7 linked regions of the Tribolium castaneum genome follow. The protein of the gene in region 1 binds, or shares a complex with, the protein of each later gene. Links are inferred from orthologs where the notes say so. Each region holds a gene or a part of one and is shown in the gene's direction. Other genes may lie near its edges.

What was found.
Region 2: U4/U6.U5 tri-snRNP-associated protein 1 (region 1) and LSm3 share a complex: the UniProt entries of both Homo sapiens proteins name them as parts of the U4/U6-U5 tri-snRNP complex. The link is inferred for Tribolium castaneum from reciprocal best matches to the Homo sapiens genes SART1 and LSM3.
Region 3: U4/U6.U5 tri-snRNP-associated protein 1 (region 1) and peptidyl-prolyl cis-trans isomerase H share a complex: the UniProt entries of both Homo sapiens proteins name them as parts of the U4/U6-U5 tri-snRNP complex. The link is inferred for Tribolium castaneum from reciprocal best matches to the Homo sapiens genes SART1 and PPIH.
Region 4: U4/U6.U5 tri-snRNP-associated protein 1 (region 1) and U6 snRNA-associated Sm-like protein LSm6 share a complex: the UniProt entries of both Homo sapiens proteins name them as parts of the U4/U6-U5 tri-snRNP complex. The link is inferred for Tribolium castaneum from reciprocal best matches to the Homo sapiens genes SART1 and LSM6.
Region 5: U4/U6.U5 tri-snRNP-associated protein 1 (region 1) and SmD1 share a complex: the UniProt entries of both Homo sapiens proteins name them as parts of the U4/U6-U5 tri-snRNP complex. The link is inferred for Tribolium castaneum from reciprocal best matches to the Homo sapiens genes SART1 and SNRPD1.
Region 6: the proteins of U4/U6.U5 tri-snRNP-associated protein 1 (region 1) and ubl are in contact, whole or in part, in a crystal structure (PDB 4PYU), measured with the Homo sapiens proteins. The link is inferred for Tribolium castaneum from reciprocal best matches to the Homo sapiens genes SART1 and UBL5. Residues at the interface, in NP_005137.1 of Homo sapiens: Ser117, Leu118, Ser119, Ile120, Thr123, Leu126, Arg127, Leu130, Leu132, Lys133, Leu135; in NP_001041706.1 of Homo sapiens: Met1, Glu3, Arg15, Lys17, Cys18, Asn19, Asp21, Asp22, Asp26, Lys29, Leu30, Ala33, Gln34.
Region 7: U4/U6.U5 tri-snRNP-associated protein 1 (region 1) and Prp31 share a complex: the UniProt entries of both Homo sapiens proteins name them as parts of the U4/U6-U5 tri-snRNP complex. The link is inferred for Tribolium castaneum from reciprocal best matches to the Homo sapiens genes SART1 and PRPF31.

What each region holds. Positions count from the first base shown.
Region 1 is NC_087395.1:24,228,721-24,233,764, forward strand, and holds U4/U6.U5 tri-snRNP-associated protein 1, read left to right. Parts: upstream 1-2,244; coding exon 2,245-2,422; intron 2,423-2,469; coding exon 2,470-3,116; intron 3,117-3,168; coding exon 3,169-4,536; 3' UTR 4,537-4,850; downstream 4,851-5,044. Other genes in the region: APC7 (anaphase-promoting complex subunit 7), read right to left, coding at 113-586, 838-1,986, 2,034-2,102. UniProt on the Homo sapiens protein: Plays a role in mRNA splicing as a component of the U4/U6-U5 tri-snRNP, one of the building blocks of the spliceosome. May also bind to DNA.
Region 2 is NC_087399.1:10,143,097-10,146,695, forward strand, and holds LSm3 (U6 snRNA-associated Sm-like protein LSm3), read left to right. Parts: upstream 1-2,047; 5' UTR 2,048-2,184; coding exon 2,185-2,205; intron 2,206-2,254; coding exon 2,255-2,362; intron 2,363-2,408; coding exon 2,409-2,585; 3' UTR 2,586-2,603; downstream 2,604-3,599. Other genes in the region: SCAR (actin-binding protein WASF3), read right to left, coding at 2,921-3,599. UniProt on the Homo sapiens protein: Plays a role in pre-mRNA splicing as component of the U4/U6-U5 tri-snRNP complex that is involved in spliceosome assembly, and as component of the precatalytic spliceosome (spliceosome B complex).
Region 3 is NC_087395.1:17,966,348-17,970,055, reverse strand, and holds peptidyl-prolyl cis-trans isomerase H, read left to right. Parts: upstream 1-2,198; 5' UTR 2,199-2,277; coding exon 2,278-2,361; intron 2,362-2,407; coding exon 2,408-2,584; intron 2,585-2,629; coding exon 2,630-2,923; 3' UTR 2,924-2,968; downstream 2,969-3,708. Other genes in the region: peptidoglycan-recognition protein 2, read left to right, coding at 1,413-1,470, 1,520-1,739, 1,785-1,903, 1,954-2,144; G-patch domain and KOW motifs-containing protein, read left to right, coding at 3,039-3,172, 3,224-3,414, 3,465-3,663. UniProt on the Homo sapiens protein: PPIase that catalyzes the cis-trans isomerization of proline imidic peptide bonds in oligopeptides and may therefore assist protein folding. Participates in pre-mRNA splicing.
Region 4 is NC_087398.1:10,390,696-10,393,998, forward strand, and holds U6 snRNA-associated Sm-like protein LSm6, read left to right. Parts: upstream 1-1,843; 5' UTR 1,844-1,891; coding exon 1,892-1,982; intron 1,983-2,035; coding exon 2,036-2,184; 3' UTR 2,185-2,208; downstream 2,209-3,303. Other genes in the region: inosine triphosphate pyrophosphatase, read right to left, coding at 1,208-1,780; uncharacterized protein LOC100142353, read right to left, coding at 2,209-2,768, 2,810-3,143; adenylate kinase isoenzyme 1, read right to left, coding at 3,197-3,303. UniProt on the Homo sapiens protein: Plays a role in pre-mRNA splicing as component of the U4/U6-U5 tri-snRNP complex that is involved in spliceosome assembly, and as component of the precatalytic spliceosome (spliceosome B complex).
Region 5 is NC_087394.1:7,019,578-7,023,230, reverse strand, and holds SmD1 (probable small nuclear ribonucleoprotein Sm D1), read left to right. Parts: upstream 1-1,643; 5' UTR 1,644-1,784; coding exon 1,785-1,798; intron 1,799-1,901; coding exon 1,902-2,253; 3' UTR 2,254-2,374; downstream 2,375-3,653. UniProt on the Homo sapiens protein: Plays a role in pre-mRNA splicing as a core component of the spliceosomal U1, U2, U4 and U5 small nuclear ribonucleoproteins (snRNPs), the building blocks of the spliceosome.
Region 6 is NC_087397.1:131,134-134,641, reverse strand, and holds ubl (ubiquitin-like protein 5), read left to right. Parts: upstream 1-2,031; 5' UTR 2,032-2,156; coding exon 2,157-2,334; intron 2,335-2,403; coding exon 2,404-2,447; 3' UTR 2,448-2,504; downstream 2,505-3,508. Other genes in the region: phosphoglycerate mutase 2, read left to right, coding at 100-933; Surf4 (surfeit locus protein 4 homolog), read right to left, coding at 1,117-1,347, 1,396-1,659, 1,882-1,932; Uck (uridine-cytidine kinase), read right to left, coding at 2,752-2,924. UniProt on the Homo sapiens protein: Ubiquitin-like protein that plays a role in cell proliferation and sister chromatid cohesion by associating with spliceosomal proteins. Participates thereby in pre-mRNA splicing by maintaining spliceosome integrity.
Region 7 is NC_087395.1:18,106,716-18,111,995, forward strand, and holds the start of Prp31 (U4/U6 small nuclear ribonucleoprotein Prp31), read left to right. Parts: upstream 1-2,078; 5' UTR 2,079-2,173; coding exon 2,174-2,510; intron 2,511-2,563; coding exon 2,564-3,387; intron 3,388-5,280. UniProt on the Homo sapiens protein: Involved in pre-mRNA splicing as component of the spliceosome. Required for the assembly of the U4/U5/U6 tri-snRNP complex, one of the building blocks of the spliceosome.

The sequences.
Region 1 (5,044 bases):
CTAACACTTTGTATTTTAACACGTAAATAATTAGGGAAATGTAACCCTGTGATTGTTGAAAACAAAGTCGCGTGACTTTAAATATTTTTATTGTAAAAAAAATTGTTATCACCTAGAAACTCATATTGGTAGGCCAGGGTTCGGTATCGTTCTGGACAAAAACATCGTCCTCGGAGGCGCTCGTCCCTGGCGACGTGTACGACGTCTCCCCCACGCAGGTGTAGTAGCTCTCCCTTTTGCTTAAAGACACGTTGCGTCCGATGCAACTCAGGCCCTCGGTCGCCCTCTGGTTGGACGGGTCGAGCCGCAGGGCCACGTTGTAGTGGTGGAAAGCCTCGCTGTCCTTGTTCAAATTGACGTAGCAGTCGCCCAGCATCTGGTGGATGCGCGAGGTGGGGTGCTGTTCCACGTGCTTCAGCAGGAGCTGCCGAGCTTGGTCGTACTGCTGCTCCTGCTCGAGCAACTCCACGAGCATACAGACGGCCTTAGTGGAAAACGTCTTGTCTTGGCTCACGGCCTTCTCGAGGAGGTTTCGCACCGTTTTCCCGGACGTCATCGGGTCTTTGAGTAAAACGGAGGCGTGCAACTGCAGTGAAACTATTTTTTGTAATTGTTGTTATTTGAGGAATAAATAAGAAAACAACTTAATGGCGCCTAATCCGTTTCGACACCTAAAGCAAAGACAACGTCCCATCCCGATATTCCTCTCAGATAGCGCATTAGTTTGCCAGATGAAGGCAAACGAAAAAAAAGTGATACGTTTTTAAAATAATTCGTCCCAAAAAAACAGTCTAACAGCCAATTCTCTCTTTACCGTATTACAATTTTTTCACTTACCGTAACCGAATGTGGGCTGAAATTGAGCTGTTTGCACGCATTTTGCGCCATGGAGTCGGCCTCCCTCAGCCGATTCATCTTCACATAGCACTCGACCAAACACTGGTGCAAGTCGTATCGAAACGGACAGATCTGGATCGCTTCCGTGCAATGCTGGGCGGCATCCTGGTACTTGCTGAGCTCCACCAGCGTCTTGGCTTTCAGCAGCAACGCCTCTATGTTTTTGGGCGAGGCACAAAGCGCCTGCTGTGCGAAATAAACGGCTTTTTCGTGCCGTCTCGTCGAAAACATCAGATTGCCAATGACCACCCAATGCTCACTCGTCCACAGCGACATATCCGAGGTCGGGATCAAATCCTCCAAATACTCAACGTGTTCGGAAGTCCCCGAGCTCGCCAAAAGCGTGGCCAGTAAATCGCGACCAAAGACTAGGTTCTGGTCGAGTTTAATCGCCCGCTGGAGGACTGCAATCGCCGTCTCGTCCTCACACATGTAGTGGTAGCAGTAGCCCAGGTTGACCAGCAGCGACGTGTTGTCTTTGAGTAGACCGTGGCTGTCCATGCTTTTGTACGTTTGGGCGGCGTTTTCGAAGTCGCGCGAGTACAACTGGGCTTGTGCTTTGAGCCAGAGGTTTAGCCAGTTTAGTTCGGAAGTTGCCTCCACCATTAGTGCGTTGACTTCGACCCCTTTCACCCCCAGCTTGAGCAAGTTCTCCACGGCTTCGAGGGCCAGCGGGCACTCCCGGAGCACCTCCTTGTAGCACGTTATGGCCGAGCGCTCCATCCCGGCCTCCCTGTACAAGTTGCCGAGCGCCATGTTGACTTTGGGGGTCCGCAGGCGGGCCTGAATCGACTGCAGCATCTCGATGGCCCCATTCACCTGCTTCAGGGCCATGCAGCACTTGTGTATCTTGAACCTGATCTCCACATCGCTGGCCAGTTCGGGCTGACTCTCCGTGATTTTATTAGACATTGACTTGGTTTTTAAGAGGTGTTTGCGGAGCTGTAAGGCCTGGCGGTACAAACTCTCGCTTTGGGCGAACTGTTGCGTCTCGTACAGCGAATCGGCGTACAGCAACATCACCTGGAACTTCTGCAAAGGGGGCAAAAAGTCGGGCTTTTGCTCGGACGCCGACAGGGCCAAGTCGCACTAAAAGCACAGTTGGGGGCTCAGACTCCCAAAAGGGGGCTACAAACCACTCGGGAGATGTTCGAGTGCAGGGCAAGCTCGTACATCGCCTGCAATTGCTTCAATAAGTTGGTCATCTTGGCTTGGCAAATGTGGGGTTAGGTTTTTGAACTCGGCAAATCCCGTAACGGCGAAACCACCAATCCGGATTTCGCGCACGTCAAAACGTTGCATTGACGTTGTGTACGGTAGGTATTTCCTTCAAATTTTGTAAAAAGGATGGGTTCTAGTAGCAAAAAATACAAAGAAAAAGAGAAAGAGTCTCGTAAGCGGCGCCACCACAGCCCCGGCTACACCGACGAGCATGAGCCCCCGAAGGAGAAGCGCCACCGCCACAAGAGGCACCACAGGGACAAGAAGCGCGACGCGAGGGCGAAGCACGACTACGACAGCGACGGTAAGCACCCCGCGTCCAACTTTCCCGTTTGAATGATTTTTTGCCAGGATCCGACGTGATCGAGGTGATTCCGGACGATGAGCCTTCGGGCTCCGGGCAAAACGCTGAGAGTCTCTCGATTGAGGAAACGAACAAACTGCGGGCGAAGCTCGGCCTGAAGCCGCTCGATGTGAGTTCGGGGGACAAGTCCGAGAAGAAACGGGATGACGGGAAGAAGAAGGACGATTGGGGCGAGTTTTACCACAAGCCGGCGGAGAATTGGGCGGATAAGCACGAGAGGGAGAAGCTGAAGGGCAAATTGACAACGATTCGGGAAAAGCGCCAGCTGGAGAATAAGCTGGGCAAGGTGAAGCTGCTGGGGGACAGTGATAGTGATGATAATGTGGAGTCGTGGGTTGATAAGAACCGCAAGATTGAATTGGCCAAGAAGGAGGCTGAGAAAAGGGCGAAAATGTTGGAGGAGTTGGATGAGCAGTTTGGGGTCAGCGAGTTTGTGGAGAATGAGAAGAAGGAGAAGAGGAAGCAGAGATACACTGAGAGGAATTTGAAAGGGCTGAGGGTGGAGCATGATGTTGATAGCTTTGCTGAGGAAAGGGATGTTATCTTGACGCTGCAAGACAAGGGCGTCTTGGATGAAGACAAGGAGGATGTCCTGGTCAATGTCAACATGGTTGAGGACGAGAGATACAAAAAGGTAATTTGTTACAAATATTTACAGTGAATGATTATTTATCATCAAATTTCAGAACGTTATAAACAAGAAGAAGAAGATTTTGTATAACGCCTACGAAGACCAGGAGTACGACGAGTTTGGCAACCCCAAAGAAAAGTCGCTTTTGGCCCAATACGACGAAACAATCGACGGCGAAAAACGCGAAAGCTTCAAAATCGGTTACGACAATGCGGTTGAACGTAAACAAGCAATCGTGCAATCAATTAAGGAAAAACTCGCCAAAAAAAGAATCGAATCGATTGAAACAAAAGATTTAAAACTCGCATCGGAATATTACAACGACGAGGAACTGTCCAAATTTAAAAAACCCAAAAAGAAAGTCCGCAAAATCCGAACTAAGGGAAAACTGACCGCTGATGAATTGGAGCAACAAATTAACAACAAAGGCATCGAGGAAGTCGGCTCAAGACGCCCAAAGAAAGAGCTCGAAGACTTGACCATTGACGACATCCCCGAAATGGAATACCCCACGGACGTCAAACTCGAGGACGAGAAGGACGATCTCTTGGAAAAAGCGCTGCACAAGACACGCAAAATCAAACAGAAGGAGAACCTCGTTGCTGAGATTGTTAAATCAACGCCGGTTAAAAGCGAAAGTGAGGAAAACCTGGAGGGGAGTATTGTTCTGAACGCCACGGCGGAGTTTTGCCGCACTTTGGGCGACATCCCAACGTACGGCAAGTCCGGCAACCGCGAGGAAACCGAAGATTTGATCGATTTCGAGCGTGATCTGAAAGACGAGCCCGAAATGGACGAAGTCGAGCAGGAGGAGAAAACCGGCTGGAATTCAGTCGATCCAAACGAGCCGCACGAAAGCCCGCAAATTGCCCCACAAGAGGTGCAAATCCTCGACGAAGAGCCTGATGTCAGTACAGGGCTTGGGGCAGCTTTGAAGCTTGCAATGAGCAAGGGGTACCTGGACAAGGAGCAGAATAAGAGGCCGTCGAATTCGCGGTTAGCGCATTTGCAAGCCAAGCATTACTCTATCGAGGACAAGACCTACGGGGATGAGGGCGATCGCGCGAACCGCCGGGAGAGGTACACTGGCCCCATTATGGAGTTTAAGGAGAAGGATGGGTTTAAGCCCAATGTTAAGTTGGAGTATATCGACGATGATGGGCACGTGTTGAACTCGAAGGAGGCCTTCAGGTATCTCTCGCATAAGTTCCACGGGAAAGGGCCGGGGAAAAATAAGATCGAGAAGAGGATAAAGAAGGGCGTGCAGGAGCAGTTGATGAAGAAGATGAGTTCGACGGATACGCCCTTAGGGACTTTGAATATGCTGCAAGCGAAGCAGAAGGAGACGCAGTCGCCGTATGTGGTCTTGTCGGGGAACAAGCAGAGCCAGCAAACGGCGGTTATTTCCAAAAGTCGGCGTTAAGTAAAATGACTAAGAATAAATAAATACTATAATTTTGTGTGAACAAAATTCAGCGCTACTCTAAAAAGAAGTGGCAATTTTAAATTAAGGAAAACTGGGCATCATTGTAAATTGTATAAATTGTTTCATTTTTATCAGTTTTTATTTACAAAGTCCTAACGAAAAGTGTTACGAAATGTTTTTGTTTTGTAGATCGTTTTTAAGGGACGGGTACGATAATGATAATGGTTTTATGAATAAGTTTTAAAGTCTGGCTCCCTACGAGTACAAACGGTGTAATAATTTTTGCGATAAATGAAATGAATTAAAAGTGAGTTCCGTGTTTTAATTAGAAATTACCAATTTCCCATATTTTCCAACAAAACGGTAATAAAGGAAAATATTGAACAGAAAGTTATAGTTAATTAAAAAAATAAATGGTTGATGACCAGCTCTCGACGTGACCTTTCACGTCACTTCCGTGAGCACCATTATCAGTCATGATTAGGATAGGGATTGCACGGTAATC
Region 2 (3,599 bases), on another chromosome or scaffold:
ACGTTATTAGCCAGTAGTGGTAGATGCAGCGACGTCTTATTTTAAGGAAATGAAAATAAGATACGGAATCAACGGAAATGCAATTGGTGGAATAATCATTGCCAATCCACCTGCTGGAATTCCCTAAATTGGGATGTCGGTCGTGCTTTTGGTTATTTAAGCTATAGAAAGTTGTTGTTAGGTTGGTAGCTAGGTCTAGTGCGGTGCTAATAATCTTTCTCTTATAAACCTCATTTTTTGTAAATTAATTGTCAGTGTCAAAAATTTTGGAATTATGTTGGAACCCTGCCACATTGACATAGACGACTAATTTTAAATGGAGTTGCCAACGTTGAAACAATTTGAAAATTGATTTTAATTCCGAATGGACTTTAGCAACCAGTAATTTTATATACGTGCTGATTCTTTTAGAGCCTATATTACAAACTTTTTAACTTCTAACATAGGTTGAGCTTTAAAATTTTGTACACGATTCAAATCGATCACTCTGAGTTAAAACTAAATTATTTTCAAGATGGCTGAACTTCCGGAACTACGAGAAATTGGCGACAACTTTGAAATTTTAAATGGTGACCACCTATTTTTATTGTGTTTCTGAATTCGCCTTTTGAAACTGAGTAAAATGTAAACCTAATTGTTAGTACTTATCTGTCTTAGTTTTTGAAATATGTCAAATGTTTTGATAAATTTTTTATTTGCAGAGGTTTATTTAAAACATCATAGCTCTTGAGTACTTTAAAATAAGTGAATAATTCTTTTTGCATTTGATAACCAAAGGCTCGAAGGGTCTTCTGAAATCTTTACGATTGTCAACTGTCAAATTGCAAGGCTACTATGATATTTTGAAAATGATAATTAAAAAACAATTATAGAACAGTTTTTTTAAATGGAATGACTTCAATGGCAATCAAAAGAACATCAATTTTTATGCAGACTTATTAACATCTTCTATATCTATCTCTTACAGTTTTTGAAATAATCTCAAAAAACCGAATTCAAGGTAATTATTTTCATTTTTAATCGAGTAACCTTTCAAAAAATACGATAAAATTGTACTAATGATTAACAGAAATTTTAAAACTGTCCCCCATTTTCACTCAAAAAGTTCAAAATTCGATGGCAAACTGACTGAGTTATTCACTAAGTTAGCATAAACCATAATTAAATATTAATGTTTTGCTGCTTATTTGATAATGAACCAGCTAAAAACTAAGTAAAGTGTCGAAGTTTGACAATTGTTGACCATTTTGCAAGGTCTACTTGATTAACTATAAAAATTACGAAGTAAAATCCGTTATTTGTGATTTTTTCAAAAACTGTAACAGGTAAGGTACAGGACGTGTTGATAAAAATCACCATGAATATTGTTCTTTCGATTGCCGTTAAGAAAATAGAGTCGATCCATTTGAAAAAACTGAATTATAGCCGATTTTATTTTTAATAACCATTTAAAAAAATCATACTAGCCTTGAATTTTGACAGTTGACAATTTTGAAAATTTTAGAAAACTTTTCGAAACTCCGATAATCGAATTAAAAAAAAATATATTCACTTCTCCTAAACGGTTCAAAGGCTGTGATAATTTAAATAAACCCTTGCAAATAAAAATTTTACCAAAAAAATTGACATATGTAAAACTAAGACAGATAAGTACCAACAATTTTAATAAATTTTACTCACTTTGAGAGAGTGAATTAAAAAATGTAATAAAAATGTTTAGTTACTCTTCAAAATTTTAAAGTTGGCGCCAATTTGTCGTGGTTCCGGAAGCTCAGAAATTTTGAAAATAATTTAGTTGAATTTCAAATAGTCGCTTTTAAAGCACTAGTTTTTTTTAAAGTTAAAAAGTCTCTAATGTAGGTCCTAAAAGAATCACCCTGTATAATCTGCCGATTTCTAAGTGTTAGTGAGTGTTAAACTATGCATGATCCCTAAAACGAGTGATTGTATTATTTTAAAAAGTAAAACGCGGTAATAATCTGTGGCTTTAATTAAAAAACAAATTTTTTTTAGATTCAAAAAAACACCTTCCGCCCGAATTTTATTACATGCCAAGACCGGTCTGTCCGAATATCGTTAAAATCGAAAAAGGTGTTCTTATTGTGGCGACACTGTAACGACAACTTAACCTAACTTTTGGCCTGTTTAATTTAATATTACAAACAAGTATCATCTTTCGTGAGAATGGCAGATGACTTAGAAAATGTAAGACCCATTTCATTTAGAATTACATTTCACCTACCACTCCTTTCAGATTCCCTCAATCACCGTCAAAGAACCGCTCGATTTAGTGAGGTTAAGTTTAGACGAACGTATTTATGTAAAAATGCGAAACGATCGAGAAATCCGGGGCAGACTCCACGTAAGTTGTCTAACAAAGTTCCATCCATCACAAACCGAAATTCCAGGCTTATGACCAACACATGAACATGATCCTGAGCGACGCCGAAGAGACCATAACCACGGTTGAAATCGATGAAGAAACATATGAAGAGGTTTACAGAACGACGAAACGTAATATTCCCATGCTTTTCGTCCGAGGTGACGGCGTGATCTTGGTCTCACCCCCAATGCGCACTTCGTAAATAAAACACATACGTTGACATGATGTTTATTTACCCATTAAATATCGTATTTTACAAAGATTTCCTGATAATTGGTTAAAATATTAAAAAGGAGTATTAGGATAGTACGAGTTAAATAATTCTCTATACAACTTAATTTATAAATAAAACGTTCATTACAATATGTACATCTCAACCCAAGTCAAAACCATCCACTGTAAACGCAATCTAATAAGCTTATCATGCAATGCCTCAATAATACTGGAAATTTGGCATATTGCTAAAGTTTGCTCGTTAAAAATTGAAAATTCGTTGCTTCAATACACTTGACTAGCCGTGCTAGCCTTCCTTCTATGTCACGCCGACGTTTCATTTTCGCCCCAACCCTCACTATCACACTCCGAATCGCTTCCTGAATCCGAATCGCTAAACTCGACTGCAACCCTCCGAGCTAAAATACTCGCAACATCGTGGAAACCGTTCCCTCTCTCCACCTCCTTCTGTTCAATCTTCTCCACCTTGCGCAACTTAATCCCATCTCGGATAGCTTTGAGTAAATCATTCCTGGGATCGACGATAGGCGGCGCCTGCTTTGGCCGATCTTTGACAGGTGTCAATTGCGGCGGCGACGCACTATTTATAATTTTCGCCAAATCGCCGTTAACCAATGGGGGACTAGTCGTCGGGCCGTTCAGTAACGGCATTGGTGGAGGTGGTGGCGGAGGCGGGGCTTGTGGAGTTTGTTGTTTGGGGGGCGAGGCTTGCTTAGGTATGGGCGGTGGTGGAGGTAAGTCTTGCACCGGTTCGGGAGGTGTGGCTTGATGCGGACTGTTTGAACGCGATTGGGTGGCGAGATGTGCGGGGATGCCGTTGGGCGGTGACATGGTCGTGTCGGGTGGTGGGGGCGGTGGTGGTAGGTTGTCGCGGCCGGAGAGGCTCCGCCCTCGCGTCGGGGTATTGGACGAGGGCGTGCTCGTGTTGCTAGGTGGTGCGGGTGGGGGCTGGCTTGGGCGGACTTTACCGCCTCGTGTGGGC
Region 3 (3,708 bases), about 6.3 Mb from region 1:
TAATCACATTTTCCGACACTCCAATTTTAGCCGGTCATTAAAGGCTTTATTTTCGGAGTGCTGCTGGAACGACGCGACTCAAACGACTTTAAATATTTACAAAATCGCGAGCGGACAATTACTGCGGACTTGTCGGTGTGGGGGTCTCACATGTCGTGTAAATATGATGTAATTGTGTACAAACAATCAGCTTTTTGTGCGATTGGAGACTTCAAGGTCCCATCTCCTAGAAAATGGGTTGCACTTTCTCGTTTGCCTTATATGTGTGTGGATTTAATTTGTCGGCGACGCAATGGTTTCATAACGAGGTCGAGGCGGGTTTTATTGGAAAATTTGAGACGACACAGGATAACGCATTGAATGAGACAGGAAACGCTAGAAATAGTCCTCCGCATCCGACTGAAAGAGTTTTATAAAAAGACCCATTCATTATGCGGAAAGATGAAGCTAGAAAACAGTTTTATAATTCGAATTGCCAGCTGCCGGCCAAATAAATTTAGACTGAATTAATGGGGTTACGTCAGTTTAATTGACACCTGTCAGGCGAATTGTTTACAAAATTGCAACAAGTCAACATTTTTGCAACCGCTGATCGCTGACCTCCCACTTAATTATTGCACCAATTTCCAAATATTGGTGTTATCAAGATTAATATTCAATTTAATTTCAATCGCTACTGATAACACGCCTGTTAATAATGTGTTAACTTGGGACAAATTTAGGTTATGAGGCAGGTGGTTAGGATAAGCGAAGCGTTTGTGTCCTTACCTAGGTCATCCATGGTAATAAGCTGCCGTTCTAATACTAATTTTAAGCAAAACTTCTCAACTACATCACGAATTATCGGCACTTTTTAGGAAAATGACCTTATTTAGGCATTTTCGCAGAATCACAAATGTCAAGATATGAAATTCCAGACGGTCAGTGTAGGCAACCTTGAAAGAAGTAAACAACGGACGGGCAGCGCCTCTCAACAAGTTTTGCAAAATTTTAAAAACCAAAATTTTTTTCCCGCACAAACCTTGCGAATTAACTGACTGAGTTGCCCCCCGTATCTAAGTGACTTGATAACTGCGTAACGAAAATTACGTTAAGTTATGATTTAATAAAACATGATAAGAACTGATAGTGATAAGGACGTCTAAGAAGACTGCAAAATCCAGCACAAAAATAAAATTAAATTCGTTGCTCTTGTTTTTATTTAACTTTAGTCACCGTTGGTGAAGTCCCTGATCGGGAATCCCCACAACCCAGAGATAAAAACCATAACAAGAAGATAAAGTCATAGACCCCACAGGTCACCGTATATAAATGCAGAAGTTTATCATCTCGAAGGTTACTCGTGTTGTTCCATTAAAGGACGTGCTAATTAAATAAATAATTTTAATTTTGCATACAAGGCAAAGTTGAATATGGGACGAAAGTTCGTGATTATTTTCTCAATTTTGCACCAAATTCTGGCTCGAACAGGTAAAACCACCGCTCAAACCCCATCCATTGCTAAATGAGGTGTTTCCAGAGTCAAACTTGCCGGCAGTGTGCCCCGAAATCGTGAGTCGCACTAGATGGGGGGCTCGCACTGCTTTGGAAGTGGATTACGCCCTAATCCCTGTCGAAAACGTGGTCGTGCACCACACGGTGACCAACACTTGCAGCACTGAGGAAGAATGTGCGGCGATTTTGCGAAACATTCAGAATTTTCACATGGAAAATCTAGATTTTCACGATATTGGATACAAGTAAATTTGATGATTTTTGTTTTTTTTTTTTTAATTATGGTTTAGTTTTTTAGTGGGTGGTGACGGCCAGATTTACGAGGGCGCAGGTTGGCACAAAGTGGGGGCGCACACACGTGGGTACAACTCCCGGTCTTTGGGGCTCGGTTTCATCGGCAATTACACGAGTAGGTTGTTTTTCGTGTTATTTTCGTACTTTACGAGCCTTTTATTACAGCTCAACTTCCAAATAAAAAGCAGATACAAGCCGCTAAAGATTTTCTCCAATGCGGGGTTGAGTTGGGAGAGTTGGGCAAAAGTTTCAAACTGTTTGGGGCCCGCCAAGTCAGCGCGACGGAAAGTCCGGGCCTAAAGCTGTACCGCGAACTACAGAACTGGCCGCACTTTACCAGGTCCCCGCCGAAATAAACTGTATTCTAGTTTTTAAAATAAAATTATTATAAAGCATACGATTTTGAATTTAAATATGGCGCCCATTAGTCGCAAGTTTGAGGTTATGTTGTTTTGATTATTCGAGGTTAGGGAACTAAAAACCGTAAAAATGCCGAATTGGGACCAAATTCAAGCCCAGTTGAAGCACCCAGCGAACCCGGTCGTGTTTTTCGACATTTCCGTCGGAACTACGGTACCAATAACCCAAAATTTCCGAAAACTGTATTTTTCGATTACAGGAAATCGGCCGAATGATTTTCGAGTTATTCGCAGACGCGGTCCCCAAAACCAGCGATAATTTCCGCCAGTTTTGCACCGGCGAGTTCCGCAAAGACGGCGTGCCGTTGGGCTACAAGGGGGCTAGTTTCCACCGAGTTATCAAGGACTTTATGATCCAAGGGGGCGACTTCGTCAATGTAAAAATCACGGGATGCGATTCCGCAACTAATTAATATTTTTAGGGCGATGGGACCGGCGTTATGAGTATATATGGGGGCGGAACGTTTCCCGACGAAAATTTTAACCTAAGACATGACGGTCCTGGACTTCTATCAATGGCAAACAGCGGCAAAGACACCAACGGTTGCCAGTTTTTCATAACTTGTGCAAAGTGTAATTTCCTGGACGGCAAACATGTGGTGTTTGGACGCGTTATTGACGGACTTCTCGTCATGCGGAAAATCGAAAACGTGCCCACGGGGCCCAACAATAAGCCCAAAATCCCGGTCACAATTGTACAATGTGGCCAAATGTAGTAGTGTAATTCAAATTTTAATAATAAAAGCACAAAATAAAACTTAGTTTAAATTTTTATTTTGTCAGGTTGGTGGTCCCATAACCTCACTTGTCAAAAACGTAAATAATCGTGAAATGGAAAATAAAAAAATATCGTTCGGTTTCAGCAAAATTAGTAAAAAGACCGAAATCAGGTCAAGTGTTCCGAAACCCGAAAATAAGATACAGCTAATTGACTGTTTAGAGGGTCAATCAATTAAAATAAAAGGGTATGTTTCGTTTTTGAGGTTATGTTATTTTTGCCAAAAACCTCATTTTAGTGCCGTTGAGGAGACAAATGAGCCGTTGGTGATACCAATCCAAGGCCCATCAAACAAATTAATAGACCAAATAAAAAAAGCGAGGGAAAAACACGTCAAACCTGAAGTTAAAGAAGAGACAGGGGAGGCAAATTCTGTGCCAGACTCTGCCCTATCTCTTGACGAATTAGCGGCAAGAGAGTTAATCCGAGGTACTTACCCTATGTTTCAAGTGATTTTCTAGTGTGAATAAAATTTTCAGAGGCACAGACTCGCAACACTGTACAAAGCGAGACAAAAGTCTACTCCTTGCCTTTAAATGACGACAAGTTTGTGGCAGAGGGGGCACAGGAGTCGTCTCTCGACGACTACGAAAGTGTACCAATTACAGATTTTGGTATGGCGATGTTACGTGGCATGAATTGGAAAGAGGGAATGCCAATTGGGAAAAGGACCAAAAAGTTGGTTTAACTTTTCTAAAACACATCCTGAAAATGATTTTTTCT
Region 4 (3,303 bases), on another chromosome or scaffold:
ATTTTTAATTTATTTCCTTTGAAAGTTGCACTCAAAACGTGGGTAAGTATATCTAGAGTTACGTTGCATTGTTAACAAGATTAGGTATTATTTCTGACTGAAACCACTGAAAAAGTGTATCTTATTTATTGCCGAAACCAAAAATTTTTTGCTTGTTTGAAATTGCACTCAAAAAACGTTTATAATTTAATTTTATATTACGTAGAAATAGCTGTTTAAAAACGCTCTGAAGTGGAAGAAATAGTCTTGAAAACAATGTTTTAATTTACGTAACCAATATTACACACGTACATTTGTTATGGACTATTTTAGTCACATTACAAACGATTTCAATAAGGATACAAATTAAATGCACAGTATTTTATTTAAACGACAAGTATTTTTAATCAGTAAAAATAATAATTGCACACTAAAAATAATAAATGCACAGTAAAATAATAAATGCACAGTAAAAATAATAAATGCACAGTAAAAATAATAAATGCACAGTAAAAATAATAATTGCACACTAAAAATAATAAATGCACAGTAAAAATAATAATTGCACACTAAAAATAATAAATGCACAGTAAAATAATAAATGCACAGTAAAAATAATAAATGCACAGTAAAAATAATAACTGCACAGTAAAAATAATAAATGCACACTAAAAATAATAAATGGACTGTAAAAATAATAATTGCACAGTAAAAATAATAAATGCACAGTAAATAATAGCATCTCAAAACTAGAGTGTGTAGAATTTCACATTTCCAATTTTACGTTTTTGAGTTTAATCGTTCGAGGAGTATTTTTCCTTTTAGTTTGCTGGGGCGAAGCCCTAGACTGCAAGCTAGCTACTGAGCGTTTATTATTTAAACTGTGCAAACTGAAACTAGATCCTGTGCATATACGATTTTTTTATTGGGCAAATTTTAAAAAAATACTGTGCGTGGTTTACTTGTCATTTAAATTTTTTACTGTGCAAAAATGAATTAAATACTGATGATTTATTATTTTTTACTGATTAAAATCGAATTTTTTACTGATCGCTTTATTACTATCCTTTCAATAATGGCATTTGAGTACTAAAAAGTACTACCCCCCGGACTGTTTTGTTATAAACCTGCCGGAGAAATAAGAAAAGCGTAACAAAAAAGCACTCAAATCAAACAAAACAATTTATTTAAGTTGATTAAAGTCAAATAAAACTAAAACGACAAAACATTATTGTTTCTCTTGGTTCATAAAATGATTCCTCAGCGCGTCCAAGGCGCGGTACCGATGAGAGATTTTATTCTTCTCCTCTTTGGGCATCTCGGCGTACGTCTGCGTGTACCCCACTGGCTGGAAACACGGATCCCATCCAAAATCCCTCGGCCCCCTCGGCATCACAATCTCTCCATCCGTGCGCCCCTCGAACAGAATCACTTTGCCCCCTTCATCGCCCGGATGATATGCAAAAGTACAAACGGCCTGGGCACTCTTATCCTCATGCCCAGCCAGTAGTCGAAACAGCCCCTCAGGACCCAACTTATCCAAGAACCACTTAATATAAGGACCGGGCAAACCACCCAATGCGTTGAAACACAGACACGTGTCTTCGACGATACACGGCCCCTTGATGATTTCGTACGCCGCTTGGCATTTTTTCACGCAAATATCGGCGATTTCGCCCTGGAGCTCAGGGAGGTCCACTTTTTGACTCACCACTTTGCGTGGGAATGTCGAGCCGAGGATGGCAACCACCTCTTCGAGCTTTTTGGCGTTGCCGGTGACGAATGTTAGCGGTTTCGACATGGTTTTGCGTGAAAAAAACAGGAAGTGGGGTTATGTACATGCCGATTTGAGGTTAGGTTTTTGTCAGCCGAGGCGGTTAAATAAGCAAATTTGAGCCACAAGCTGATAAGGATGAGTCGCAAAGAAGCCCTTTCGTCTTTTATTCAACAAATTCACGCCAGGCCTGTTGTGGTCAAGTTGAATAGTGGTGTAGATTACAGAGGTGAGGTTATGTTTGTTTTTTGTCAATGAAGGGGGCTATTATTTGGTTTTTAGGTGTTTTGGCTTGTCTCGATGGCTACATGAACATAGCGTTGGAGCAAACCGAGGAATACGTCAACGGACAACTCAAAAATAAATTCGGGGATGCGTTTATTAGGGGCAACAATGTGCTCTACATAAGTACACAAAAACGTAGAATCTAATGTATTTTTTGTAATAAAAACGTTTCAAAACTCAAAGTCGTTCATTAAAGCGCACTGATCGATTCTCGTAGAGCTGTTGTATAGCTCAAATAACTCGTTATTTGTCTCACACTCTTGTTTCTTTTTCTTACTTTTAACGAGACTACAGTTCTGATATTTAAATTCATTCAATGTGTTGTCCGGAGGAGTTGGATAAAATTCACAGATGAAGTCCAATTTAATTTTACAATTGAGTGCCCTCCACGTTTTTTCAACATCTAACATGACACAGTCTTCTTTTCTTCGTCCTGGTCTTGGGTGGCCCACAGCCCAGGCCCGAAACCGCGAACATTGCAAAAAGTCCCCCATTGGAGTCTCAAAACTCCCCTCAACCGTAATGTCGTCAAGGCCAACGTATGCCCCCTTGTACCAGTTAGGCAAAGACTTGAGTAACGCAGCTAGTGCGTTCGTCCTTGCCTCAGTCAAAATATCAGCCAGGTCGCCCCCCAAATCCTGGCACCGACGTGCGGCGCTGGAATAATTCATTTTTTCCTGAACCACTTGAAACAAACCGACTGATCTGAGACAAGTTGCGTTCGCTGTGGCTAAAATTCAATTCACATTAAGCCATCCTTCCAACACTCACCCCCACAGTTAAAGTCGCCATAAGCGCTGTAATAATCGTAACTCGGGTCAAAGACAAACGTGGTCGAGTTGTGGACTTCCGGACACCCCAACACCTCGCAACTCCGCGCTTTCTGGAGCTCAGGGGGGCTAAAATTAAACGCTAGCCCGTTTTTGTCCCGCGTGAATTGCATACAATCGCGGACGTTATCGAATTGTTTCCACGACAGTATCGGAAGCGTCGACTTGAAGCAACTCCTTAGTTTGTGGAATTTGAGAAAACGGTGATTTTGGGCGCACATTTTGAGCGCGAGGGCACAAGCCGCGAGGAGCGGAAGCACGCAAGTCGAACGCATGGCGAAAATTACGCTTTTATTGGGAAATTTCGAATACAAAGCACCGGAAAGAGTTAAACTGAGGAGACCACTGATTCGTTCTCTTGTGACTGGGCGTAATCTGCCTCGTTCGAAATCCTAGTTCTTGTGCTAATCCGGACTGAAATGGCGGCTTCAATCT
Region 5 (3,653 bases), on another chromosome or scaffold:
TTTGAGATTAAAAAAAATATGAGTTTTTTTGGTAATGTTTAAATATTTTATTATCTCTTCTTCCGGTCTCTTACCGAAAAATGCAAAATGCAGAGATTATAAGTTATTTAAACGAAGTGATTCAATGAATTTAAATTCCTTAGTCGACTTGAACAACCATTTTTGAACAGTCTGTACAAGTATACCTTTTTTAAAAATATTTCTTGTTTCGAAGAATAATTTAAAAAAAAATTTATTTCTTCTACAATGACCTCATCAGAGCAGGAACGGACAGTTTTAATATACCTACGAATTAAAAAATAAACTTGTAAATATTACAACTTACTTTTTTTAATCTAGTTTGTAACTAATTAGTTTAGCCAAGTGTTTTCACTGTTTTCACTGCTTGTTGCCACAAAAAATTAATAATTATTGAGTCACACTAATTTATTATTAATTTCATAATCCAATTTTATCCTTTTTTTTATTTAAATTTCATAATCGATCGTTCACTGGTAAATAACCACCTAGTCTTTTAACATAATTCAAAAAAGTAAAACTAGAAAATTTGTATCCAAAAATGACTTTTTGTAAATTTTTTGGGTAAAAATGGTTTTATTTAAGTAACATTTTAATAAAATTGTACTAATAAACTTGTACTTGCAACGTAGTCATTTGATAACTTAAAACTAACCGGAATTTTTCAGTTCTTTCGACAGAGGTCAGAGTTGCGACCGGACCCGAGATCTTGCGAAAATGATTATTACTAGTTTTGTGTTATCTATTCTAATATTGTAATAAATAACATAAATTAATCAGTAACAAGTGTTTTTCAAATACTTTAGGTAGGGGAGAGTGGGGTTATTATGTACAGTGAATAATTATGCCCAAATTTCTGTAGGTTAACCCTCTTATCCTATAATCTAATTTTGCCCATTATAATCGTGTCCACATAATTTCAGCAATTTTGAAGCCTCACTCAAAAACTGTCAAACTAAAAACGTATCTTTCTCATGTTATAGTTATAATTTAGGCGAAAACAAGTCAAAAATTACTTTTTTTAACTTTTCAGATAAGTATTTTCTAACTTCTTATTAACATATAATTTATATAATCGACCTAATCTTAAATTTTTCTCCGCAAAATGTATTCATACAGTGGAACCCCTGTCACCCGAACGGGGATAAACCGACTCCACCAATTATTTTGTTCAATTTCAAATTTTGAATTCGAAAAATTTTTATAACACGAATTTTTGTTTAATTAATTAATTAACTAAAAACACGCAACTAATAAAAATTAAGAACAAGAACACTAGATGCACTAGAGAGAGTTGAGATTTTTAAGGTAAACACTTTGTTGGATTAGTTAAAAAAATTGCTCATATTATAATAACAGGAATCACTTGAACTCAACAAAAGTATTATTCCACTGTATTCTACAAAGATGATTTGAAGTGGCAACGGCCTATTCGGGTGATCGAAGTTCGACTGTATAAAGCAAAATATTTCATTGTTACTACGTGCCAATAGCAAGGTTATTTTGATAATAGCTGTGATAATAGTAAATAATAAAGAATTGTTTTTATTTTCAGAGTCCATAATTATCTGCAAACCTATAAAAAAAATAACGATTTAAAATTGGCGCCACGTAAGTGGCGCTCCCTTCGCAAGTTTTCTTGCCATCTCTTTCTTATATGCTCATTCTCTTTCCCTCTATGGAAGAGGGGGGGTAAAAAAACGTAAGCCAAGCGTGTTTTGCCGGCATAATATAAAAATTGTCTTAATTACACCAAAAATATCAACATGAAATTAGTAAGGTGAGAACGTAAACTACTGATTGATCAGACACGTTTTTATTTCCTTGAATTCCAAGTAAAACTCCTGAAAAACCACCTAACCTAACATTTCGGCCATTTTCAGGTTTTTAATGAAACTGAGCCATGAAACGGTCACAATGGAGCTGAAAAACGGCACACAAGTCCATGGCACTATAACCGGTGTAGATGTGGCCATGAATACGCACTTAAAAGCTGTAAAAGTGACTGTAAAGAACCGAAATCCTGTGAACTTAGACACCCTAACAGTTAGAGGAAACAACATTCGTTACTACATTTTGCCCGATAGTTTACCCCTCGAGACTCTGCTGATTGACGACACCCCCAAAGCCAAGGCCAAGAAGAAGGAGAGCGCCCGGGGGGCTGCCAGAGGCCGCGGGAGGGGCCGTGGCAGAGGGGGCCCCCGAGGCAGGGGCAGAGGGAGAGGGCGTAGATAAGAATACGTTCATTAAATTAAGTTTCGTAATTGTAAGTGTGAATCTTTTCGTTTAGTTCCAGTATTTGTAAAACTTTTATAATTCTGCTAAATTCATCAATAAAACATATTTAGGTTTAAAATGTCTTTGTTATTAAAAATCGGGACCTTGTACTAAAATGTATAAAACGTAAACTGTGAAACAAACAAAACAGAAGGCGGCTACAAATGCGAATGATTTTCGATTGTGTCTGTGGAGTTGTGAAAGTTGGTTTTCGTTTGTGGTTAAAAGTTTGCGAACTTCTCGTAACTCTTTCTTCATGTCGGCTTTTTTCTCGTTGGGGATTTCATCAGATTCGATCTTTTTTTCTAAAAGTTGGACCCTCACGTAACAGGCTTTGATTGCTTCTTCTGTTTTTGTTATCTACAAATGGTTAAATGAGTTTGGTAAAATTAACGTTTTACTGATTACCTCCTTCATGACGGAACATTCTCCTAAAGATAGCCCCATTTTTCGGGTGGTCTTAAACACTGACTATCAATACAGAAACAGATGGACTATCACTTTATTTAACCTCAATTTTTTTTATATTAATAATTATTTTACAAATTTAGGAACATTCTCTTACTTTCAATACAAAAAGTTAAAGCTAAAACATTATCACTCATTCAGATTTGAGATAAGAAATATTTTCTCAAAATCAAAATAAATATAGAAATTGCTTGCCATCGAGTATGCAACCAACATTACAAGCCTGCATAACAGTGATGTCTAAATTAAAGCTTTTTTGGTATTTATGTGCTCGATTTTTGGTAATGAATAAATTTGGGTTCATTAATTTCTTGGTACCTACCAATTTACAGGTCAAAAGTCTTCGATGCAGAGTTTTCTTCATAAAAACTAATAATAGATAATGAGATAAATAACTACAAAATTACTGTACAAATTGCTCCTTTTTGCTCGAACTTTAATACGGCCCTGAAACTTTACAAATACCAACTTTGTTTTATATTTCCGACAAAAATAACAAAATGCAACCAATGGAATTAACTTCAGTTGTTCTGACGTGTAACTGTAACTGAAAATTACAAATTTTATTTTTATTTTATTAAGTGCTATTATTTAAAAAATAAATACCAATTTCTCAATTAATTATTTAAAAATCAAACGCCTTTTTCGATTTCTTTCTTTCTTCAATCGATTTCTTAAAATATTTTACATATCAGCTGTTTCGAAACTATAAAAACGCCAACGTCGTATTTTCTTTCAAAATTAATTGTTATAAATTTATTATTCATGCACTTCAAAAAATTATTAGCTCATGTAATTTATATTTGCAATGAGAGATCTAATCTTTATTAACTATTTTACATTTTTATCAATTTTACTTAAAAAATAATTTGATAAAATGTGACGTTTTG
Region 6 (3,508 bases), on another chromosome or scaffold:
ACTAAGTTTTGTTTTTCTGCCTTTCAAAATAGTTGTGGGACAACTCCCAAAAAAATCGTTGAATAATAATACTAAATGATAAAATAAAAACAAGCAATCATGGAAAAACTCGTGTCACGTAAATTACCCAAACTGTCACAATTTCTAGTAAATTACAGTACAATGGCACCGTATAAAATCGTAATGGTCCGTCACGGCGAATCAGAATGGAACCAAAAAAACCTTTTTTGTGGTTGGTACGACGCAAAATTGAGCGAAAAAGGTAAACAAGAAGCGGCAAACGCCGGCAAAACCCTCAAAGACGCCGGCTATAAATTCGACCAAGCTTACACTTCGGTCCTAAGTCGAGCACAAGACACTCTTCAGATTATCTTAAAAACGCTAAATCAATGCGATATTCCCATTCAAACGACATGGCGTCTCAATGAGCGTCATTACGGCGCATTAACCGGCCTTAACAAAACTGAAACTGCCGCCAAATACGGCGAACAACAAGTGGCCATTTGGAGGCGGAGTTTTGACGTACCGCCGCCCCCCATGGAAAATGACCATCCACACTATAAAGACATCGTATGCGATCCGAGATACAAAAACGGACCGCCTCCTGAACAATTCCCCAAATTTGAATCGCTCAAATTGACAATTGAACGAACTTTGCCCTTTTGGAACGAAACTATTGTACCACAAATTAAAGCCGGGAAAAGAATTCTGATTGCAGCGCACGGAAATAGTCTAAGAGGAATCGTCAAACATTTAGATCAACTTAATGATGAACAAATAATGGGACTTAATCTACCGACTGGAATTCCATTCGTTTATATGCTGCAAGAGAACATGAAACCAGCACAGGGAGGCAGTTTGCAATTTTTAGGCGATCCAGAAACGGTCAAGAAGGCCATGGAAGCCGTAGCCAACCAAGGAAAAGCCAAATAATTATATACAATGTTATTTTCTATAAACAACGATTTGCTTAATAATTATTATCATGTTTGTGTAAACAAATGTGCTGAGTCAGTGATTCCACGTCAAATTTGTAAAAAAATATTGGCCACCTTGACGTTTGCATTTAACGGTCAATCGGATCAATGTTGCCAACTTGAATTAAATAATAGTTACCTGTAAAAAGCTGAGTTCAAAGCGTATCAGTGTGATGAACATGAAGGCGAGTAAAATACGTCCTGTCAGTTGCAAGTAATTTTTAGGTTTGTTTTCGCCTAATGAAGGTACACCTGCAAATAAACTCTTGGCTTCGCCCCTACTCTCAGCCAAGACTAGTAAAAGTGCACCAATTAGAGCGAGATTTCTGAATAAGAATTGCAAATCCCATAGTATGCTGTATGCTAAAGTCTGCAATCAATTTTTTGGTTTTTGGTTGTTGATTTTTTTGAGACTTACTTGTAAAACAACAATAAAAAAAAGTACACCACACGCAATAGCTACTTTGTATCTTATAATGACCATCACACAACCTCCTAACTGACCAATCAAATTGACTAAAACAAAAATAGTGGCTAGAAATTTGCCACAACCCCATGACATGTCCATGTATTCCCTTTGTTCGGACCATTGGAACCACATTCGTAAACCATCCTCCAAAAATGTTGAAATGAGACATAAACGAGCGACAGTTGGAAGAATATGTTTTAGTTTTCTGATGACCTAGAAGAAAATTATTGCTTACAACATATGGAACGCATAAAAAATTGCACGTAATGGCTCAATTAGTACGAAAAACCTGTTGATTATTTCTCTTTTTGTAAGAAAGTTAAACGGGTGACGTGACATTTATCGAATTTTTGGAAATTATAAATGATCTTGACAGAAATTTTCAAATATAACGAAGTAAAAACATTACTTGTGCTTTTCACTAGCGAATATTACCTGATCTGCTACATCTTCGGCACTTGAAATGTATTCATTTGGAATATTCATTTTTGATTGTAGAGAGCCAAAAGCTCCACGCAGACACGTAACTTTAAATGAACTACGCAAACGAAACGAACTATCTACCCACGATAGTTCAAAATTTCTAACAGTAGTTCAGCAGTTACACAGTCAACTGTCAGCAGTGTGACTTCTAGCAAATTCCATAATAAATAAAAATTAACAACATTAGTGTTTGCACACATTTTGACTGAAATTTTTCAGTGGTGAAAATGATTGAAATAACGTGCAACGACCGTTTGGGCAAAAAAGTGCGGGTTAAATGTAACCCTGATGATACTGTCGGTGATTTGAAAAAACTTATAGCTGCACAAACTGGCACTAAATGGGATAAGATTGTTCTGAAAAAATGGTACACCACGTTTAAAGATCACATTCAGCTTCAGGATTGTATCCTTTCGTACAGTTGCAAAAAAAATGTTCCAATTTATTGCCATTTTCCTTAATTTTAATTAACAGATGAAATCCATGATGGGATGAATCTTGAACTGTATTATCAATAATTCACCATTTTTTAATTTTCTATTATAATAAATAAAAACCATAGGTTAAGAATAAAAGTCTTTTATTAAATTAATAATCAAACAAACGTTTTGGTATTGCAATATCACACAAAAAACCGATTTCTTTTTATAAGTACATAATTCACAACCTTAACACAATTAAAAACCCTGTAAAACGAGTATATTTGCTGTGCAATAAAGAATGAATAAAATGGCACAAGTGATTTCTAATCCTAATTCCTTTGGCGTTTTAAAAATTAACTGAAGTAAAGCACTAACTATGTATTTACATAAAGAATGAATCTTAATGAGGTCGTTTAAATTGGCCGTCTCCTCCAGAATTGACTTTTTTGGCTGGTGAATGCACTGGTGTTAGATTTACAGCAGCTGCAGCCACTTGAACAATTCTTTCCTCAGATGCCCTTTGTCTGTTACTTAAAATTTCTCTGATATGTTGCACAATTAACTCGATGGCCACTGAAGAACAAAAAAAAAACGTTACAGGTTTAATGCATAGGTTTATTAAGAAAGCAAAACACAATTTTTGTAATACATCAGATCCAAAAAATAATACGTTTTTTTAACAATTGACCATGTTGTGCTAGTTCCAGTCTTATACAATACCCTTATTAGAAAAGTAAGATACTTTGGTTTTAAACTGGTATTAAAAGTTAGTAAAGTCGTTACGTCCGACTTTGTGTCGATGGAATGGACTTGTAGTTATTTTCTCGTTCAGTCCCATGCAAAATATCCCAGATGTGGTGAACTATAAGGTCAATAGCCACTGCAACATAAACATTGCCATGAAATACGACAACGATATAGCATGCAAAAAGAAAAAACACCAATTCATGACATTTAAGTGATGTAAGGTGATTTTATGGTACAGAAATGATTATTGCAGTGACTATCACCATTCACCAAAAGCATTTTCAATAAAAAAATTAAATGAAAAAATGATCAGTTCTACAGGGTGATTTAAAAATGTCGGACAACGCAACTTGATTTTTAATTTTTAATATATTTTTAGTTGTTTTTCTTAGAAACTGTCAAATTTAATT
Region 7 (5,280 bases), about 6.1 Mb from region 1:
ACAATTTAGTGAAATTAAAAAAAAACTATTAGCTGTATTGACATCCATTACCTGGTACAATTTTAAGCTGGAGGTAGTAGGTAGTAATAATGCTTTTGACTTTTTGGAAAATTTTATTATTTCGTCAGTTATCAGAGAATTTGTTAATATTTTGTGGAATTGCATAATAATAATAATGGCCTTCAACACTACTTGAACTAATGTTTTAAGTCGTGATTGTTGTCAATTTGTTCATTAACTGCGGCCAATGTTTTTATTTATATTTTTTCCTTTTTATTAAATATTCATAAGAAATGTGTATAATTTATGGATATTTTCACGCCCACGCTATATTTTATACCGTAATTCGCTTTTGTTTTTGCATTGTTGATTAAGTTTTTCTCAGATTTTATGAGCTTATTCAGAGATGATCTTACAGTTTTATTTAAATAGCAGGTTAGTTTTTAGAAAGTAACCTTTTCCAAAGTTTTGTTTCGAAACATATTGTTTGTATTGGTATTGGTATTTTGTTCATTTACTCAGGGCCGCCACGAGAAGTGCTATTTTATTTGTTATCTGTTCATAAAAGGTATATATTAGCTATTTCAAAATTATAAAAACGCCAACGTCGCATTTTCTCTCAAAATTATAACTAATGTAATTTATACTTTCAATGAGAGATCGAATCGTTAATAACTATTTTACATTTCTATACTTATTCAAATTAAGAAGTAATAGAGATTTGTGGTGATTGTGATTAACTGATTACTGACTAGGTTCAATAAATAAAGGAACAAATATTTATTTATTAGAAGAATTTTAAGTTTGACATAAAATGTATGTATTAAAATGACATAATAAACATTTTCGTATATCCCAAAACCTGAAGAGTTTTTTAAAAAACTGTACTTTTTTAACCCAAATTTACAAATTGTGTAACTATACTGTAACTTTATATTCAAACAAATTAATACTGTGTGATTTTCTAAAATATTGGTCTAGTTATCCGTGACAGTTACGTTAACCCGATCTCCATTACGGAAATAAGATTCCAACATATTTTTTTTGGTTCTTCGGTGAACATTTTAGACATATTGACAAATAAAGCGATGCTAAAGTTATTTATGCAAAATGTTTCATTGATGACGTATCTGTCATGGATAACTAGATCAGAATTTTAAAAAGTCGGTTGGTAGTTTATTATAATAAGATAACAGATAAATTGCTTCGATTTGAAGCATTGAACTATCGTAGATGCCAAATAATTTTTAATTTTAAAAATGATCGCTTCCCTGTTGAATAGAAAACGGGTAATGAATAGGAATTAAATTATTTATTAAAAGATTTTCTAATATATTTTGTGGGTTTTTGCAATTATTTTCTAAAAAATGAATCTTAAAGCGTTAATTCCGTTAAATAAATCGGAAACCATTTTTAAGCTTTACGTGTAAGTCTTTACAATTTTTTGCTGTCTAAATCTTCTTAAAAAATTGAAGTTATTCACAAATACAAATGCATCGTTTTTAAAAAGAAGACACAACTTGATCCAAAATTTAATAAGAAAGTAAATTTTTTAAATATTTCTGTCATCTACCACAACTTCGTTAAGATGAATATAAGGTGTTCGTTTGTAGTCAAAAAGTTTTATTTCTTTTCTTCGGCATACAGTTTTATTCAATCCGGTTTTATTAAAATTAGTTGGTGCTTTGGCGTCCTCTGACTCCTTTTTATTTTTATTTGTATGCTTTTTTCCATTTATTTTTGTTTATTTTTAAAAACAACTATCTTAATATTCTAATTTAAAATGGTATTTAAAAGAGCTTTTGGCGAAGCAAGTTTGCTCTTATGTTCTTATAGTTATAGTTTTTACCAAAAAGTTGACTAAAATAAAAAAAAAGTTTTTTTTATTTAAATAACATGGCTTGAAACTACAATAACAACTGTTTTTTTAGTGATATATGTGTCCGGAAAAGTACTCTTTCACGGACTATATTCCGTCCCTTCACTAATTAATAATTATATTGTTTTTTTTCATTATCCCCAAATTAATAAGCAGATTATTATAGACAACCAGTAATTCAGCCCCACATTACAAGTAATCTATGGACACTTGTCAATTTGTAAACTGCATTTTTCTAACCTCACTTCCAAGTGTTGTGTGAACGTTTTGGAGTTACGTTTTTAACTCGCTAAAATGTCTTTGGCCGACGAATTATTGGCTGATTTGGAAGAAAACGATCAAGATGATTTGGAAGAAGCGATGGAAGTTGATGAAAAACCGGACATCAAAGAAGAAAAACCCGACGTTAAAGACATCCAGTTAGAGGTAGACACAACTCAAATAACTTCAGTCCGAGAGTTGTGTAAATTACGGGACTCGCCCCATTTACATGAAATATTGAAACAAATCGAAGACCATGTGAAGAAGAGCCGAAAATACCACGACATCATAGGACCAGTTGAGTTGGACCCTGAGTATCAACTGATCGTCGAAGCTAACAACATTGCTGCAGATATAGACGCGGAAATTGGTAAGAGTTACGATTTTAACCAAATCAGTTGAAACTAATCTGTTTTATTGAAGCCACTGTCCATAAATTTGTGCGCGACAAGTACCAGAAGCGGTTCCCCGAGTTGGACTCCCTTGTTGTTGGTCCTTTGGAGTACTTGAAGACCGTCAAAGAGCTCGGGAATGACTTAGACCAAGCCAAAAATAATGAAATTTTGCAACAATTCCTAACGCAGGCAACTATCATGGTTGTCTCAGTCACGGCATCCACGACACAGGGGATTCTCCTAACGGACGTCGAAAAGAAACAAATCGACGAAGCTTGCGACATGGCCATAGACTTGAACAACTTCAAACTGAAAATTTACGAATACGTTGAGAGTCGGATGGCTTTCATCGCCCCCAACTTGTCGGCGATTCTTGGGGCTTCGATCGCCGCCAAGCTCATGGGGGTTGCCGGGGGTTTGACCCGATTGTCCAAAATTCCGGCCTGTAACGTGCAATTGTTGGGCCAACAGAAGAAGGCATTGTCTGGATTTTCACAAGTGAATATGTTGCCGCACACTGGTTTCGTTTATTACGCAGATATCGTGCAAAATACTCCGCCTGATTTGAGAAGGAAGGCTGCCAGACTTGTTGCCACTAAATGCACGCTAGCAGCACGTGTGGACTCGTGTCATGAGAGTAAAGACGGACGTATTGGGCGGCAATTACGCGACGAAATTGAACGAAAACTGGACAAGTTGTTGGAACCACCCCCAGTTAAGTTTATCAAGCCGCTGCCGAAACCTATCGACCAGTCCAAGAAGAAAAGGGGCGGGAAAAGAGTCCGCAAAATGAAAGAGAGATATGCGATGACTGAGTTCAGGAAACATGCCAATAGAATGAACTTCGCTGATGTAAGTTTGGTTTTTCTTGTATTAAATTTTTCTAGTATTGAAAATATTTCTTACATTGAAAATTACACAATATTGTTAGCCAATCTACTGTTGAAGCAGCATTATAGTTTCATTAGATTTTGATAACATACTAGAGATCACAATCTTCTTTGCAAAAAGTTTTCTATGGGTTTGATGAAAATGCAGTTTTATTATTCTCTTGATACTTACAAGACCGGTATCAATAAGTTGTAACGAATAAGCGAAACACATAACTTCAGGTGTACCCCAGTGCTCAGTTTTGGGCCCAATCCTTTTTTTAATTGGGGTGTTCGATGTTTTAACGAAATAACTCCAGTTTTAGTCTTTTTGAGAAAAATATAGAAACGTATGCTATAAAATTTTCTCTTTCAAATGCAATAACTGGTTTTGTAATCGATTGATTTATTTTAATGTCATTAAACAGTAACAGTTGTTATAACACCGAAAATTTGTGGACATTTATTCAGTGCAATAATGAGATAAGTCCATCAATCGTTTTTTTACTAGTCTAGTGATTATTGTTAAATATAATGTATTAAAGCTTCCGTATTATAACTTATGTCAAAATAAGTTTAAAAAAAATAGAGACAAAAATGCAGTAGTAACATTGAATTGAGTTAAATTTTCACGGGTTTTTAAAAACCAAACGGCTTTCAATTTGAAAAAAAAGCGGTTTCGTCTGTAATTCTGTACTGCATTCCTCCTCTTCGCGTTTTATACTAATTTTTATTTATTTATTTTTCAAACAAAATCGATTACCATGATACTGAATGGAATCAAATAAACAATGATCTAAAAAGAATAGCCAAACATTGCAGTAATGTTAACTTAAAACTCAATGAAAATAAATATTCAGTCTTATACTTTGCATCTAAAAGTTGTAAATATTTTGAAGAATAATATATTAATATTTATATTATTAGTAATAAATTAAACGTTCTTGCAAAAAGAAAATCTCTAGGACTTACATTGACAGTGGAAAACACATTATTCATTATCAAAAAATGGTTCATCTCCTTGAAACTCTTACGTTCTAATTATCACATTCAGATTTCAAATTGAGAAATAAACTTATTGAAACTTTGGTAATTCTCCTTTATCTATTATTGCTTTATAATCTTATCCTTGTTTAAATGATGTTGATAGTTGAAAATAGATTATACAAAATTCAAAATATAATGTTATATATACAAAATTCAAAATATAATGTTATATTTTGAATTTTGTATCTTTGGCTTAAAAAAAATGTGATTACATTTCTAAGGTCGAGTTGTATCATCTTTAGTCCTGATTTAAATCCCTAACAATTATTCTCATAACAATGGCTATGGGTTTAATCCTGAAATTTTTTATACAACTCGACCTAAGTGTGTTTCTGACTTAATGTTGGAACTTCGGGATAAGATACTTGAGACTTCTAATAAAAGTATATTTAATATGAAAGTAAATCGAAATACAAAATGACGGAATTGATAAAAATATACACGGCACACTCTTATAAACAAAACTGTGGTTCACACGGAAACGAAACGCGACTCGTGAAACTTAGATGTCCAACACTTCCCCTCGAGTCGTGTGTCGTTAGAATGAATACTTCCAAAAAAAAAAAATTCATCCTTCCACTAAAACTTCTGGCAACTATCCTAACTATTGATAACTTGTAGTCCCGCTGCATTTACACTCCAAATATGTTTTTGTTTAGCGAGTCCTTTAGTTAGGAAATCAGCCACTTGCTGTTCTGTAGAGATATGCTCGAGAGATACTTGCTTGTCTCTCAAAACTTCGCGTACAAAATGGTGACGGACATCTATGTGTTTACTTCTCGCATGAAAAACAGGATTCTCAGCAAGACGTATTGCACTCTGGTTATCA